Notamacropus eugenii: one gene and its partner. The protein of the gene in region 1 purifies or fractionates together with the protein of each later gene. This does not show direct contact. Links are inferred from orthologs where the notes say so. Each region holds a gene or a part of one and is shown in the gene's direction. Other genes may lie near its edges.

What was found.
Region 2: the proteins of SS18 (region 1) and BICRA purify together in Homo sapiens (affinity purification with mass spectrometry; 3 studies listed by BioGRID and IntAct, counting the BioPlex papers as one, with this or other methods). This does not show direct contact. The link is inferred for Notamacropus eugenii from reciprocal best matches to the Homo sapiens genes SS18 and BICRA.

The regions. Positions count from the first base shown.
Region 1 is NC_092875.1:250,753,362-250,761,037, reverse strand, and holds the start of SS18 (protein SSXT), read left to right. Parts: upstream 1-4,462; 5' UTR 4,463-4,477; coding exon 4,478-4,860; intron 4,861-4,988; exon of another isoform or gene 4,989-5,183; intron 5,184-7,676. UniProt on the Homo sapiens protein: Appears to function synergistically with RBM14 as a transcriptional coactivator. Isoform 1 and isoform 2 function in nuclear receptor coactivation. Isoform 1 and isoform 2 function in general transcriptional coactivation.
Region 2 is NC_092876.1:29,526,200-29,534,367, forward strand, and holds the start of BICRA (BRD4-interacting chromatin-remodeling complex-associated protein), read left to right. Parts: upstream 1-5,113; 5' UTR 5,114-5,243; intron 5,244-8,168. UniProt on the Homo sapiens protein: Component of SWI/SNF chromatin remodeling subcomplex GBAF that carries out key enzymatic activities, changing chromatin structure by altering DNA-histone contacts within a nucleosome in an ATP-dependent manner.

The DNA.
Region 1 (7,676 bases):
CTCCCCCTTGCCTTCCTGCAGAGGAAAACAGATTTCCATATCCAATCGAGTGTTTGTTATTCCCTCCTTAAGCCAAATCCCATGAGAGGAAGGCTCAATTATTTCCTTTCATCTCCCCCCTCTTCCCCTCCATTGTAAAAGCTCTTTCTTCCCTCTTTAATGTGAGATGATTTGCTACATCCTACCTCTCCCTCACTCTTACTCATAGTATATTCAACAGCAAATTTTATTTTTTTTAGGTATTCTCCCTTCATATTCAGCTCACTCTGTGCCTTCTGTCTGTGTGTGTGTATATATATATATAATGTATATATATACATACATATACACACATATATATGCATACACACATACACCCATGTACATATACATACCTACACGTATATCATATACACATGCATGCATGGGATAAAATGTTCTAAAGTGTGAACACTAACTATGATAGACCTGTGGTCTGTAGCACCAATGTGATATTCACAGCATCTACAGCAGCCATGAATATGCTGGCGTAGTTCTGAATTGCAAAGTATAACGGACTCTCCATGTGGAAGGCAGAAGAAAAACATTTTTTCAAACACCAGAAATCCATCATAGTAACAAAGAAATCTATACACAATACTAATGCAGCAGGCAACACCATCCCCAAGCCTTCTCCCTGGTAGGCTTCCCACAAACCAGCTCCTTTAAACAAAATCACAGACAAGCTCTCCCACTCCCTCTACTTCCTGCCTGCTCTTTCCCAGCTCTGACTAGTCTGACCAACTTCCTCCCAGCTCTTCTCTACCTTTCCTGTTCCACCTGTTCAACAAGTTCCTCCCACCACATGTAACTTGGGCTTCCATATGATTTAAGCAGGTCACATGGGCGTATGAATAGATGGGAAAGATCTTTAAATTAAGAAAATAACATTAGCAATACATGGTCTCTGCAATATTCCTCCACCAGTGCAGATCACAACCCATGGGTTTCTTCTTCTTCTGTGAAATTCTTATCTTTCCATGGATTGTCCAAAGCTCTCTGAAATGCACTTGAAGCCTTCCTCTGGGTAGTTCCCTCTGTTTTTCTAAAAAATTTTATGAGCAATAAACTGAATAAAAACATTTTAGCTCTAGAAAAATCAACTTCCATTTTCAATGGATCTATGATGTTGTCGATATGGCTAATCCTTCCAGAGCCCAACTCATCCATGTTTCCCCATCTTGTGCAACAATTTATATGTCTTTCTATAAATTCGTAGAGGATTCATCTAATATCTTGGGACCTTCCTCTTAACTGGTTAAAATTAATTTCATATATTCATGTAACAGGGAACATAGGGTAGAACTTATCCCCTGGTTTCTTTTTGGTAGACCACATACTCTGGTTATTTGCTAAAATGACATGGGTTCCTGTTTGTTCTCTGTGCGTGGCTATTACTGGGGGTTGTGTCAAAGGTAATTGTTGACAGAAACATTAACCAATCTGGGTTATAGGGAGCAAGTAGAGATGCCTTCCTCCTCTTTTTTTTTTTTCCAAAGGAAATTTCCTTGTTGGAAAATTGCTAACACTTGCTTTCTTTTGAACTTCAGTAAGGTGGTACCCATTCCTTTATTCCTCACCTCCCCACTGGCAACAATGGAAACTTCTTGTTCATGATAGCAAGAGCAAGAGCCTGGAGGAGGCTGACACAGGACCTCATGTCCTTGGCTGCTGCTTCTGTTTGGTGTTTCTTTTTCTGAAGCAAGGTCACCAAACAAACACTAATCCCATGAAATGGATGTTTCCAGTCCTGTTAACTTGCTGAGTTTGAGAAGATAGGAGCTTGTTACCCAGCAGGATGTGATTTTCACAACACCTTCTTTGAGAAGAGTACCATCACCAGGATTATTATGTAACTGAAAGGATTAAAAAGCCTGGGAGTATAAATCTGAAGTGAATGTGAAATACATAATTAGTAATTCTACAGTTATCTTTACCTCTCAGAAGAGTTTAATGGCAACTATGAGTTAATTTTTTAAGTACCTATAAATGTGTGCTTATGGACCTGGCACTTAGCACAATGCCTGGTATATAGTAGGTGCTTAATAAGTATTTATTGACTCAACTATTGAGTTTTGCATTTAAAAAATATTTTGGTAGAGGAAATAGCTGACATAACTGATACCTACTCCACTGAGGACCTTGTTAATCTTTTTTAGGGGACAACTCAGGCTGTAATTAAATTTTGTAATCCATAAAAGCACCCCAGCCTTTTTATATGTATGGATCAGGTTTGGTTTGGCATGTTTGCCCTGAAAACCTTTTCTTTTTTGGTTCATTTTATTCATGCCTATAGTTCTCTTGATAATCTCAAACTATTGCTTAGGTTTAGATCTCCACAGAGGTGTATAAAAGGGTCTCCAGCTTTCGTGAAAGACCTTAAGGTAACAATGCTATCCTGGTCATATTAGAAAGAAGAAAGGAGTAGTTGCAAAGGACCAAGAATAGGTCATGCCAAATGAACCTCATTTTCTTTTTTGACAAAAATTATTTAGCTGATAGATGAGGGGAATGCTGTAGACCTGCCTTTACCTTGATTTTAACTAAGATTTAGGGTGTCTCATACTATTCTTGTGGAGATGGACAGGTGTGAACTTGATGATAATGGTTAATGTCCATGTGGCAGGTCTTCAGTTGTGTCCTCGCCAGGAATCTGTGTTTGACTCTGAGGTGCTATCTCATATTTGGCATCCTAATCTCATTTGCAGACGAAACAAAGCTGCTAGAAACAACTAACATTCGATTAGTCTGAATCTCCAGACTTTTGACCAGGGCCTACTCTATGTTGCTTCACAGAAGGAGAGCTTGTTTGGGGCACGACCTGTTTCTTTTGTCTTTTGAGCTCTGGTTCCTAGCACAGTGCACACGTCAGGCACCTAATAGATACTATGGGGTTGACTGGTAGAAAGGGATTCCCAAAGCTGCTGTTACCCAAGAACTCCTCCTTCTGGCAAGAGAACTCTCCAAGAACTTAGCACTGTTCAGAAAATGAGTCCTAGACTTTAAATTTGGGGTTGCTAGACAGGTTTATCAGAGGCTTGTGATCAGAAACCCATCGTCTTGGCTAGATTTTTAAGTGGAGTCTTAAGTACAGCCTCTCCTTTACAGGTTCTGTGGGAGGCCAGGCATGGGGGTGGGGTTTGAGGAGGAAAAACCTTTGGTTTGGAGTTAGGGGACACGGGACTCTCATTTACTAATCCTGTGCCCTTGGGCAAGTCATAATGGTTCTGAGCCTCAGTTTCCACGTCTGATTTTGTCTCGAGTTGCTCTAGATGAAGTGCTTCACAAACCCTAAGGTACTATAGACACGTGGCCTTAGGTATCATGGTTATCAATCAGCAGGGTTAACAAATATTTCTACGTGTCGGCCAACCAGCATTTAGGAAGGACGTATATACACCAAGCACGCCTGGGCACACCAGAAAGGCAAATACCGGATTCTGTAGGAACTTCATTTCTTGTGGGAGCCGACATGCTGCATACTGATGCATACAAGACCCGTACAGAGGAGATACAAGGTGACGGCGGCTCTGGCAATGTGCGTGAGCACATTGATAGAAAAGGGCATTCCGTTCACAGAAGTGATCAGCAGGTGCCAATATGTTCCCTTTTCAGACAAGGTTTTGCTGGCCCCATGTACGACGGAAGGAGCGATTTGAAATACTTAAATGGCTGCGATTTATTTATTATTTTAATGGTAAAACCCATCAAAACGTATACACTTTAAAAGCACCAACAATATAATCTCGGGGAACTTGCTGTTTGTGCAGGAAGTCCGGATTTTCCCGAGAGAAGGACGGTTTCATGCGCTCCGCCCAGCCATTTCGGAGGAGCTGTTCTGTGATTTGTAGCCAAAGACAAGCAGGTCCCACTACCCGACTTCAAACACGGAGGTCTAAACTAGGCGGGGTTCGGGTTCCCCCCCAAAATCGCGTGGGAAGGATTGCCCCATGAGGGTCACGGTGTGATGGGGCTTTCCTTCGGGTCCTCCCCCCGCGCCCGGTCCCCAAGCCCCGCGCTCCGGACGCATCTCCTAGGTCTCGCTGTCCACTGACGGGCACCAAGCCCGCTTTCCCTTCCCATTCTCTCCGCTCAGCGGATGCTCTCGGAGTTTGGAGAAACTCCCGCAGCGCGCCGCCCGCCCCCAGTGCTTTTTCCCGCCCCGCTCCGCAGAGTAACGAGCCTAGGGCACAACTTCTAAGCGGCCGTGTGTGGCTGGAGAAGTGTCATCAGCTGTCATCCACGCTGCGCGCGGCCGGCTCGGAGGATGCTCCCGCCGACCAGGGAAGGGGGCTGCGCCGCGGTGGAAGGGGCGGGTCGGCTTCGGCCTCTCGCATTTCCTGTGACAGGGGCCGCTCCGGCCTCCCCCACCCGGCTCCAAGCGGGCGGCCCGACCATTTCCTGAATCGCTGGAGCGTAGGGAGGGCAATAGCAGGACTGTACCATTAGGACGAGGTGTATGTGGGGGGAGCTCTGGAGAAGGCGGACCGCTCCGGCTATTCTCGATGATGACGCGGTCACGAAGCGCGGCCCTCTCCCCACCCAGGACCAAGCTGGTAGTAGTGGGGGGGAGGGGGGTTCTTCTACAAAGAGAATGAGAGAGGGGTCCCGGCGGGCGGCACTTTCCGGCCGTGCGCACGCCCCCACGGGCTCCCCCCCCTCTGTGTCGCCCAGTGGTTCCACCCAAGAGCCAGGCTTCTCTCCCCCAGTTTGCTGTTCACCCCAGAGCGCCCGGGACTTGCTGGATCTCGGGGAGGGCTGCGAGAAGCCGATATGTCTGTGGCGTTCGCAGCTCCGAGGCAGAGGGGCAAGGGAGAGATCACTCCCGCGGCGATTCAGAAGGTAAAGCGACGCTCCGAGGAGACGGGCTGGGGGGGGGGGCGGGCCTGACTGGGAAGCGTCTGTATGTGTGTGCGCGCGCGCGCGTGGGGGAGAAGCGGAGCCGCGGGCTGTGGCCTAGTGGGTGCTGGGGGAACACTCCTTCCCCCAGCGGACTTTCCCCCCACCGGCTCTCGCTCACTTTCCCACCCGCACAAAAGCCCCGTCAGGCGCCGCCTGATTTCTCTGGGGATGGGGCGGCGGCTGACTTGTGAGGGAGCGCTGGGAGCAGGGAGGCGGCGGGCACGCGCTCCCCTGGCTGCCGGAGGACAACTCGAGGAGGAGGGGTAGGATGTGTGGGGGTGGGGGGGGACGCGGGCAAGTCTCTCGGGAGTTCGTGGCCCTCGCGCCCCCCACATGTCGCTTCTGGAGTTACTTTTGTGACGCCCCGCCCCCTCCCTGTCGCGCAGGCTCCGTGCGCGCAAGCGCGCAGGTGGGGGCGGGGAGCGGCGGCGTGCTGGCCGCTTCCCCTCCGGGCCCTCCTTGGCGCTGGCGCCGGGGTGCCCCCGGGAGGAGTGAGGGTAGGGGGCTGGGAGGAGCTGGGGGCCCCGGGTGCTCGAGGCGTCCCCTTCTCGCCTCCGTCCTTCCCTCCTCTCCCTCTGTCCTCTGACCTTTGCCCGAGGTGGGCAGCCAGCGGTCCGGGGCTCCGCTCGTATTGTGTTTTCGCCTTGATCGCCCGGAGGGAGGGCGGCGGCGGCGGCTCCACTCTGCGGAATTGCAGTTCTGGAACTTCGAAAAACTTAATTCCTACAGGATTTTTGTTGCTCGTCAAGCATCGTGGGGGTTTTCTTCTGTTTTTACTTTTGTTGAAGTTGAAGAAAGGGCCGCTCGAGACGTCCGACCTAATAAATCCTGTTGACGCGCTGCCTTTTAGAAAAAAAACAAAACACCCCTCTCCCCACGCACATTCGTGTTCCCGTAGGTTTAAAGGCTTGCCTTAATACCTGAGCTGTGCTTCGATGATGTAATTTTAATATTTTATAACACATTAGGGAGATACCCAGGCTTTAAAGAATGTGAGTATTTAGAATGGGAAAACCCAAATGTGAATTCTGGCTTGGCAACTTAACTATCTTTATGACTTGTCAGGTCACATCCTCTTTCGGAACTTCAGGTTTCTCATGATTAAAAAAAAGGCAGAAATTGTACTAGATTTTTACAGTGATTTTTAGAACTAAATCTTACAAACCTAAATATTTAAATCTGACCTAGGTTTTAAAATTTTCAGAGCCCTGTATTTGCATTGTCTCTTGGTTCTCACAAAAATCTCGTTGGTGTAGGTCCTCTTATTGTTACTTTTATCAATGAGTAAATTGCTAGTCAATAGTAGAGGTAGTATGAACCCAGTTTTTTCTTCTTGTGAGTCCAGCACGCTAATGCTTCCTCCAAACCCCTTCTTTTGTTCCTCTTTTCCCTCTCCTACTCCTCAAGATTCCTAGGATTTTGAGTTGGGTTAGTCATAATATTTACTAAACACCCACTATGAAGTGAGCCAGACATTGTGTTACATACACAAAGATACAAGAAAAGGTAAAAAGACAGCCCTTGCTTTTAAAGAGCTCACAGTTTGATGGGGGAGAGACCATAAAAACAGCTAAGTATAAACTACAGACAGGAAATTGAAAATAATAGAGGGGAGGCACTAGAATTAAGGAATCAGGAAAAGCATTCTGTGGAAAGTGGAACTGAAAAGTAGAATTTTAAAAAGTTGATCTAGTTCAACCACCCTCACCTTACTTTAAAAAACAAGTTCACAGACTTAGAGCTTGGAAGTAACTTTAATATTCACCTCATACAACTTCTAGTTTTTAAGATGAATAAACTGAGACCCTGAGAGGTGAATCGCCTTAGCCGTTTTCTTTGTTGTTCAGTGGTGTCTGACTCTGTGACCCCATTTAAGGTTTCCTTGGCAAAGATAATGGAGTGGTTTACAAAACCATTTCCTTCTCCAGCTCATTTTACAGATGGGGAAACTGAGGCAGATAAAGTTAAATGATTTGCTCAGGGTCACAAAGCTAGTAAGTGAAGCCAGGTCTGAACTCACAAAGATGAGTCTTCCTGACTCCAGGCTGGGCACTCTATCCACTGTGCCACCCAGCTGCCCACTAGTTACACTGGTAGAAAATGGCAGAGCTGAGAGGGAATTGAGACTATGGGAAGTGTGAGTAGTTTGCCCAAGGTCATGCAGATTTTTGTATTGTGTAAATGGGGTCAGAATATTGATAAAAGCAAAAGAAAAGGTAACTTGTTCCTTGAGAAGTGATAGAAGACTGTTTCTACTGACTATAAAATTTAGGCAGGTGGGTTTAGACTCCTAGTGAAACATTTATGGTACAAATAATAAAGATAAGAGCTAGCTGTGCTTCATTCTTAGCTGGCCTTGGTGACAGAACTAGGTTGGATTCAAGGCCTTCATCTGACAATATAGCTGTATATACAACTCTGAGAAAGTCACTTAACCTCCTAGTCTCCTTCGGCAACTAAGACTATAAGTTACATATCTATACCAGGTCAAACTTCCCTCCCACACTTCAATTATAGACAATGAATATTGTTAGATTCTGGAGTGGATCATCAAGGTGTTTTCAGTCTCCATCACTGGAGTCTTTAAAAGTAGCATAGAGTACCATCTTCCAGAGGTTGTATAGATATGACTCTTTTTAAAGGCAGGAAATATAATTATTCCTTGAGGTTTTTAAAAATCTTAATACAAATTATTTGGCCTTCATTGACCAGCCTTTTGTTGACAAAGAGTTTCAACCTAGTAGATAGAGCTAAAT
Region 2 (8,168 bases), on another chromosome or scaffold:
GGACCAGCCGGGAGTCCAGAGACCGCAGAAAATTCCCCTCTGTCCTTGGCACAGCCCAGGGTCTCCGGTTTACTCGGTTAGACCTGGTGGATGGTTTGGCTGAGCTGTGATCAAAATGTCTAGAATACGTGTATGTGTGTATGTGTGGTGTTTGTGTGTGTCTAGAATACGTGCAGACATACTACACATACATATGTGGTGGACTGAAAGAAGACTTGCTGGGGATGGTACTTTCAGAAATGAATTTAATACAAAACTAATGTATAAATAAGACTTCTTAGAAAAGAGCCTAGTAATAATAGACTGTTCCCTGGAGTTTTTCTGTTTTGAACTCAACCTCAAATGAATCGTGGAAAGATGCCTTTTGTTTAGGGGGAGTTTGGGGAGAATCTGTAATTTTTTTGGGGGGGTGTCTCTCAGTGGGAGTGCCAGAGATGTTAAGTCTGTTCCATGCTTTTCCTCTGCCCACCAGTGAAAACTGTCTCTTCTCCAGGCAGATTCTTCCTTTTTCATTTTGCACAGAAAGTTTGTTCTGGTTGGCCCTAGAAGGCGAGGGTAGGGGTGGGGGTGGCTGTATGGTTCTAGGGAGGAGCTTTTTAAATAGAGCTATTCAGAAGTGGAATGGACCTCTTCATGAAGTAACAAGACTCCCAACCTTGGAGGTCTTCAAGTAGACGCTGGAAGACCACAGGTCAGGGACAATAAAATCTACAGCTACCAGGGATTCTGGAGGTAAGCTAGTCATTTTACAGAGATGGAAGCTGAGACCTAGACAGGTTAAATGACGTGCGAGAGATCACTCAGATAGTATGGACATAGGATTTGAACTCAGGTCTACGGACTTTTGACCTCCAACCTAATGTTGCAAGCAGGTTCGTGCTTTGAGGAAAAGACTAGACTAACTGTCCTGTGAGGTCTCTACCAACTCTGGGATTCTATGCTTGCTGTCTGCTGTGTGTAAAGGAGCTGGTCTCTGAAACTCTGGGATTTAATCAGTGTGTGAGGGGCCCCATAGTAAGGTGTGTTGAACTAAACTCTTTCCAAACATTTATCTAGTTCCTACTGTATGCTTTGCACTTTGCCAGGCACCATACCAAAGGCAACAGGGTATCCGATGTGGTTTCTGCCCTCAGGAAGTCTACAGTCCAGATTAAAAAACAAACAAACAAGGCACTGTCAGGTGAGCAAACATAAAATGACAATGTGTCAAATTAGGGGGCTGGTTCTCATATCGAGTACTGTAATTGAGGAGAGCTGGGGAGGTCCAGAGGCTTCTGGGAAGAGGTGGTACTTAGGCTCTGTAGGATTCAGATTTGGCAGGTGGGAGGCATTGCAGCTAGAGACCCTCACCTGACCCTGTGGCTTTCAGTGTGACCAAAATTCACCTCAACCTGTCTGGCTTTTCTTAGTCCCTTCCTGACCCGGTAATACAGTCCAAGCTTTGGGCCCTTTGGCTTCTTGGTGATAATGAAAACAATTCACTAAAGGCTATGTTATAGGCTCTGAAATTGAAGCTAATGCTGGGAGCAGAGAGCTTTCAGAGGGGACCAGTTTCTGAGGCTAGATGAGATCTGAATGGCTGGGAAGGTTCGGGGCTGCCCTCTTTTCCTGCCTCACAGTAAAGGGTTTATAATTATAATTCCCTGAACAAAGTTGAGTGTGTGGGTGATGCTGAGTGGGGCCAAGAGAGTTTACATACCATCCATTGGACAGTGCCAGGTAGAGGACAGTTCGCCCCACCTCCTTGTCCTCAAAGAGCTTAGAATTTAGTTGGGGAGACAATGATAATAAAATATAATACATATAACTATAAAAGATAATAAAAATAATTAGGATAAAAATAATAAAAATCCCTAGAGAAATATTTCCATGGAGTCCTCCAGAAGTTTTCACATAGGCTCTCTCAGAAATCCTGTAAGAAAATCAGGGTGGGGGTTGCCCATTTTGTAGATGAGGCAACTGAGACTAGAGAAGGACTTACCCTGTTCTCAAATGAGAACAGGGATTGAACCCAGGTTTCCTGATGCCCAAGTCCAGGGGCTCTTTCTGTGACATCTCCCTGGACCTAAATTTGCCCTTTGGAACTGCCTCCTTCCAAGACATGAATTCTGGAAAGGTCAGACAAGCACAGCACCTTTCATGAGCAGGAAGGATGCTGGATGTTCAGTCAAAAGCATATCATCCTTTAGCCTTTCAGAGATGACAGTCCCAGCAGGCAGGAATCATTACAAAATCTTCTTTTGAGGCTAGCCTCCAAGAATGGAAAGGGTAGAAGACCCTCAGGGCTAGAAGGAGGCTTGGAGATAGCCGGGGCTTCAGTGGAAGGGATCTCACAGGCCTGATCTTACACATGAGGAAACTGAGGCCTAGGGAGGGCAAGTGATTTGCCCAAGTCTCCAGAGGTAGTATCCATCAGAGCCAGAATTTGAACATAGGTCCTCTGGTTTCAAATCCAGGACCTTCCCTCCCCTCTCCTTTCCTCCCCATCTATATCACACTGCCCCAAGTCTTGTGTTTTTCAGAGTGTTCCATAGAGCCCTCAAGTAAAAACTATGTAATGTGAATTGAGATTCTAGGAGAAAAGTCTGATGCTTGTGACATTTTCCTCTTAAAGTATTAAATGTGAATCAATGTCCCTCCCTATCTCCATGCCCAGGTGGTTTTTTCTTCCTCTGCCCTCGGATCCACAGATGAGGATTCATGGATTCCATCAGAGTAGCTGAACCCAGGGCAGCCAGGTAGTTCAGTGGATAAAACACCAAGCCTGGAATCAGGAAAATCTGAATTCAAACCTGGCTTCAGACACTGGGTGAGTTACTTCACCCTGTTTGCCTCACCTATAAAATGAACTGGAGAAATATCTATCAAGAAAACTCCCAAAGGGTTCCCAAAGAGTCAGGGCTGAACAACCGCAAATCTGAACCCAAAGTAGTTTAGGAAGCTCTGCCCCTGAAGACAAAGTCCTTCTTTTCACAAATAAGGCAAGAGACCCAGACACAGAAAGGGTAAGGGAAGAGAATAAAGCCTTTATTAAGTACCTACTGTGTGCTAAGTGTTTACAAATATTATCTTATTTGATCCTCACAACAATCTTGGGAGGTAGGCACTATTATTATACTTATTTTACAGTGGGGGAAATTGAGGCAAGGGTTAAGTGACTTGCCCAGAGTAACACAGGTAGTGAGTATCTGAAAGTGAATTTGAACTCAGGACTTCCTCATTGCTCTGTTTACTGACCCCCCAGCTATTTCTGGAGTTCTCCAGTCCTGGGTTTCTCTGGCCCAAACTCCTCTCTGGCTTTGCAGACCTGGGCACCTAGAAGAATCTGTGGTGGATGATGTCAAAGACAGGCAGAAAAAGGGACAAGGGTCTTCTGGAGGACATGTAGGCATGGACAGAGTAGGGCTTTAAAGGTTGGCCAGGATGTTCTAGACTTAGGAACCCATGGGAAACAAGGGCATGAATATTTGTGACAGCATGGCCTGGTCCTGGGCCATAGTGGTCACCTAGCTAACCCCTCTTTATACAGATGAGGAAACCAAGGACAGATCCCCCAGCCACCAGATTGGTCCATCCTGCAGAGGAGGAGATGAGGGGAGCAGTGATGTGAATTGAAGCTAGAGGTGGTCTTCAGGGAACTATTGAGGTGTTCCACGGCCCTTCCAGTGTGTAGCACTCCAAGTCTGGGCACCTAGACTTACAGGATGCAATCTCCATAATTATACCGGACCTCCAAAGCCAGCTGGTCCAACTCTCTCATTTTTTTGCAGAGGCATTTTAAGGAAGTGGTTTAGGATCTCAGCTCTCTAGCTAGAAGGGATCCCAGAGAACATCTAGTCCCAAACCTTTATTTTAGGGAGGGGAAACAGGCCCAGAAAAATGAAGTAACTTTCAAGGTCACACAGGTGGTAATTAATCAGAGGTGGATTTGGACCCCAGCCAACCCTTTCCCCACTGTATCTATCACAATGTATCTTTCACTCTTTTTGCCTGATCCAGTATCTCTGTCCAGTATCTCTGCCAAGAAAACCCCAGATGGGGTCATGAAGAAGCAGAGCTGACTGAAAAGACTGAAAGACTAAGTATCTTTCACTCCTTGACCTTGCTCTCTATTCCTAAATACCTTGTATTTATTTTGTCAGTAATTCACATCTATTAGAATGTAAGCTTCTCCAAGGTAGGAACTGCCTCTCCCTTCCTACTTTTTTTTGCCCTTAATATATCCAGAGCTTAGCACAGGGGTGGGACAACCTGCAGCCCCGAATTTGAGGGACATACAGGGCCTCAAGGTGGCAGGTACCCCATCCCCGCCTTAGCATACTGCAGGGTCTTAATCAAAACTTGATTGCCAGTTCTCAACTAGAAAAGCACTTCTTAAAAGTGCTCTGAGGGGATTCAACCCCCTCTCCCCCGAAAATAAGGGACCCTACCCTTAACGAACTAGGTCAAAAAGCTGGCAGGTCGGTTAGTCAGTAAGTTAGCCTTTATTGGGAGCCAGGGTGCTAACTGCTTGCTAGAGATACAAAAAAAGGCTTAAGTCAAAGCGAAGCCCCACGATCTTTCCTCTCAAGGAGCTTACGCACCTCCCCAAGAAAATACAAAGTAATTTGGTGGGCAGGAGGGGAGAGCACTCCCTGTTAGTTGGTGTCCCTGGGGTGAGAGAGGAATCAGAAAGGGTAAATGGATACAAACATTTATTAAACAATTACTAGCAGGAAAGGGGACACAAGCTGAGCTGGTGGCAGGAGCTGGGGGAAGGGAGGGCATTTCGGGCACGGAGGTCCGTTCGTGCAAAGGCACGGAGGCGGGAGATGGAAGGAAGCGGGGGATGAGGGCAGCCTCGTGCCCGCGGCTGGCCGGGCGGGCTCGGGGGCCGCGCGGGGCGGAGCCAGCTCGGAGCCCGGCCCCCCGCGAGGGCGGAGGGAGGCGGGGGCGTGGGGCGGGGAGGGAGGGGAGGGGAGGGGAGGGGGGGGAGGAGGACGGGCAGCATGCATGGTTTTTTTCTCAGCATTTTAAATTTTCTTTAATTTTCCCCGGGCGGGCGGGGGGCGTCCCCGGCGCGCGCGCGGGGCCCGGGCGGCGGCCGCGGGGCGGCGAGGGGGGCGGCCCGGGGCGGGCGGGCGGCCATGCGATCAGGCACTGCGCTGACCGGCCCGGCGGCTCGGCCTGCTCTGGGTCCTCCCTGTGCAGCCCGTGCGGGGACGTCTCGGAGACCCCGCGCCGACGGCTGCTCAAACATCACGGTGAGTTTGTTACAATGTAGCAATTTCTCTTTAAATCTCTTAACTCTCCCTACCTGCGAGTCGGGGCTGTGACAGGGCGCCCGAGCCAGGGGGGGGCCGGGGGGAGCCCCCCCGCCCCCCCCCCCGCCGGGAGCGGCGCTGCTGCCTTTTCACAGCCTCCCCCACTCCCCCGAGCCAGGGGGGCCCCCCCAAACCCAGCGCCCTCCCGCCCGCCCCCCTCTGCGGCGGCGGCGGCCCCGGCGGCGGGCACACAATGGAGCTTCCGAAAAATGATACATAACGTTCCATCGGGCGGCGGGCGGGCTGGCGGCCCGGGGGGAGGGGAGAGAGAGAAGGGGGGCGCGGGAAAAGGGACTCCCCTCTCCGTGCCCTCCCAAGCCACCCCCCGGAGCCCCCCTTATCTTCCCTTTGACACCCCCCACCCCCGATTTGGGGGCGGAAGAGAAAGAAATGGGGGGGAGGTGGCGCGGGGAAGCTGGGAGTGTGAGTCGGTAGATGGCCGGACCGGGGAAGTGATTTCCCGGTTGGAGGTGGCAAGCCGTCCTCACCTCTCTCCCGCTCTCCTCCCCTCCCCCTTTCCCCCTGCCCCCAAACCAAGAATGCTCGGTGGAACGTGGGGCCCCTAGTGAACATTTTGGGGGAGGTGGAAGGATGAGGAGGGATCCCTTAAAGGATGGATAAACTCCTCCTCCCACCCCAAACAATAAGGCGAGTTGACTTTCTCCTTCCCTCCCCATCTCCAATCTGGCTTGCCAGGGGAGGGAGAAATCTTGAGGGACCTAAGGACCTAGTGTAGAGGAAGGGAAGCCAGGCTGGATCCCCTCCCCCTGCCTTCCCCAGCTTCAGCTTTGTCACCCCCTGAGGGGTTTTTCTAGTGGGGGGAGGGGGGGACTTGAGGGAACCAGCTTCTAGTGTTTTTGTTTGTCCCCGGCCCACCCTGTCACGGCCTTGGGCTCTGGGAGCCGGGAAATGAGTGAGGGGAGATGTCAGGGGGCTTGAGGGGCCAGATCTGCGAGCCTCTGGTGGTGACCTTTGTTTGACAACTCCTCTCTGATGTCTGGGCCTGGAAGCCAGCACTGGCCGCCTCGGTCCTCTTCCCTTGCTCAGCCAGTCGGTGGATTCCTTTTTTGGGCCTCGCCGGCTCTCCCTACCCCTTTCTCAAGCCCCTTTTTTTTAACTGGAGGGGAGTCGGAGAATTCGGGTCAGCAGACGGTGGTGGCCGGAGCCTGAGCCTCTCTGGAGAATGGCCCCACTCTGGGGGAGGGGGAAGGAAGGACTCGCTGAGAAATCCCTGCTGCTACTGGCCTGGGGGCACTGCACCGAGGGACTGGCTTGACCTGGGGGTGGGGGGCGGAGAGGGTTCTCGTCTGGGGCCCCAGCCTCTTGTAGCCCTGCTTAGGTCTTTGTTTTTCTTCTTTGTGGTTTCCACAGCTCCAGTCCCTCGTCAGTTGGGGGGTCGGAAGCTGGGGTGGGTCTCCCAGGCTTGGCAAGCTTATTCTGCTGGCTGGGACAAGAGCACTCCCCTGGAGTGGAGGAGGAGGACAGGTGTCTGTGAGTCTCCCCCCATGTATCCAGAGGCCAGACCTCCGGGCTTGCCCAGCCCCAGCCCCCCTAGCCGGGTGATTTATTATGCCTTTAGCCACAGAACTTCACCGGCTAGTTTGGGGGTAGTGGTTAGTGGTTTTGTCATTACCCTCTTGGTGGCTGGAGCTTTTTTTTTTTTTTTTTTGACTCCAGGGGATTTCTCAGCCAAGGCTCAGGACACCTGTGACTTTCCTGCGTCTTCCCAAACCCTCCCCTCAGCTCTGAATTTATACCCTCACTTTCTCTGCTTCCCGAGTGGGAGAGGCCCACTCTCTGGGTCCTGTAGTCCATGGGTAATGCTGGATGCCACCAGTTGAGGACAGTTCCTCCACTGAGACTGGCCATAGGCACGAGGGGACCCCTTCCCTCTCTCCCCATTCCTCTCCTGCCTGGTTTTCTTATGCCCCCAATTTAGCCTGAAACATTTCATTCCCTTTGCTGGAGTCTGGGGGAGCTGTTTTATCATTTATTAAAATGGAGGTGGCCCACGGAAGGACAAAATTGAAAGTTGTCTGAGTTGTCAGCCCTGTTGAGAATGAGTTTAACCAATCCCTCCCTCAGTGACTGGGGCAGTTAATGTTTATAATCAATCTTCGTGGGGATGCAGAGGCATCAGAAGGAGATGGCAGTTGGTATAGAAAGATCTCTGGACTATGAGAGACCCAAGTTCAAACGCTCCCTTTCCTGTTACCTGACTGTGCTACTGTGGCCAAGTCTGTTCCCCTCTCTAGGCCAATGTCCCATCTCTATAGCATGAAGGGGTTGGATCAGATTCTGCCTTCCACCGATGAGGTCCTGGGTGATTCTGTGGGCTGGGTGGGGAGGGGCAAAGGTTGGTTGAGCCTCTGCACCTGTGACTGCCAGTTCTTCCTGTGATCTCCAGTTCTTCCTGTGACCAGGCAGGTGCTCTCTTGGAAGCCTGGAGGATATGAGGAGTGTCTTGTCCTCCCTCAGTTTCTAGGGTGGGATAAGGAGAACTCCCCACTTAGCACCTTGCAGTACCCCCCAATAGTATATACGAGTAAGCATTGATCTTACAGATAGATACAGGTCCTACCTTCCCCTGTCTGACCCCTCAAGTAAAAAGACAGATACCTGGACTTTGGGAGGATTCAAGTGAGAGATGTCTCTGTGGAGCTGAGAATGTGTGGCACTGTGCCTGACAGTTTGGTCTGGTGTGAGCAGGACCCTGGGTTTGGACTCAGATGCCCCCTCTCCATCCCTGGCTGGACCACCTGAAGTGACAGATACATGGGACTTGGGCAGCATTGAAGGGACTTTTTTACTGGGATCATACCCAGAGCTGGTAGGGACCTTGGAAGGAAACCAGTCAGTCCAAAC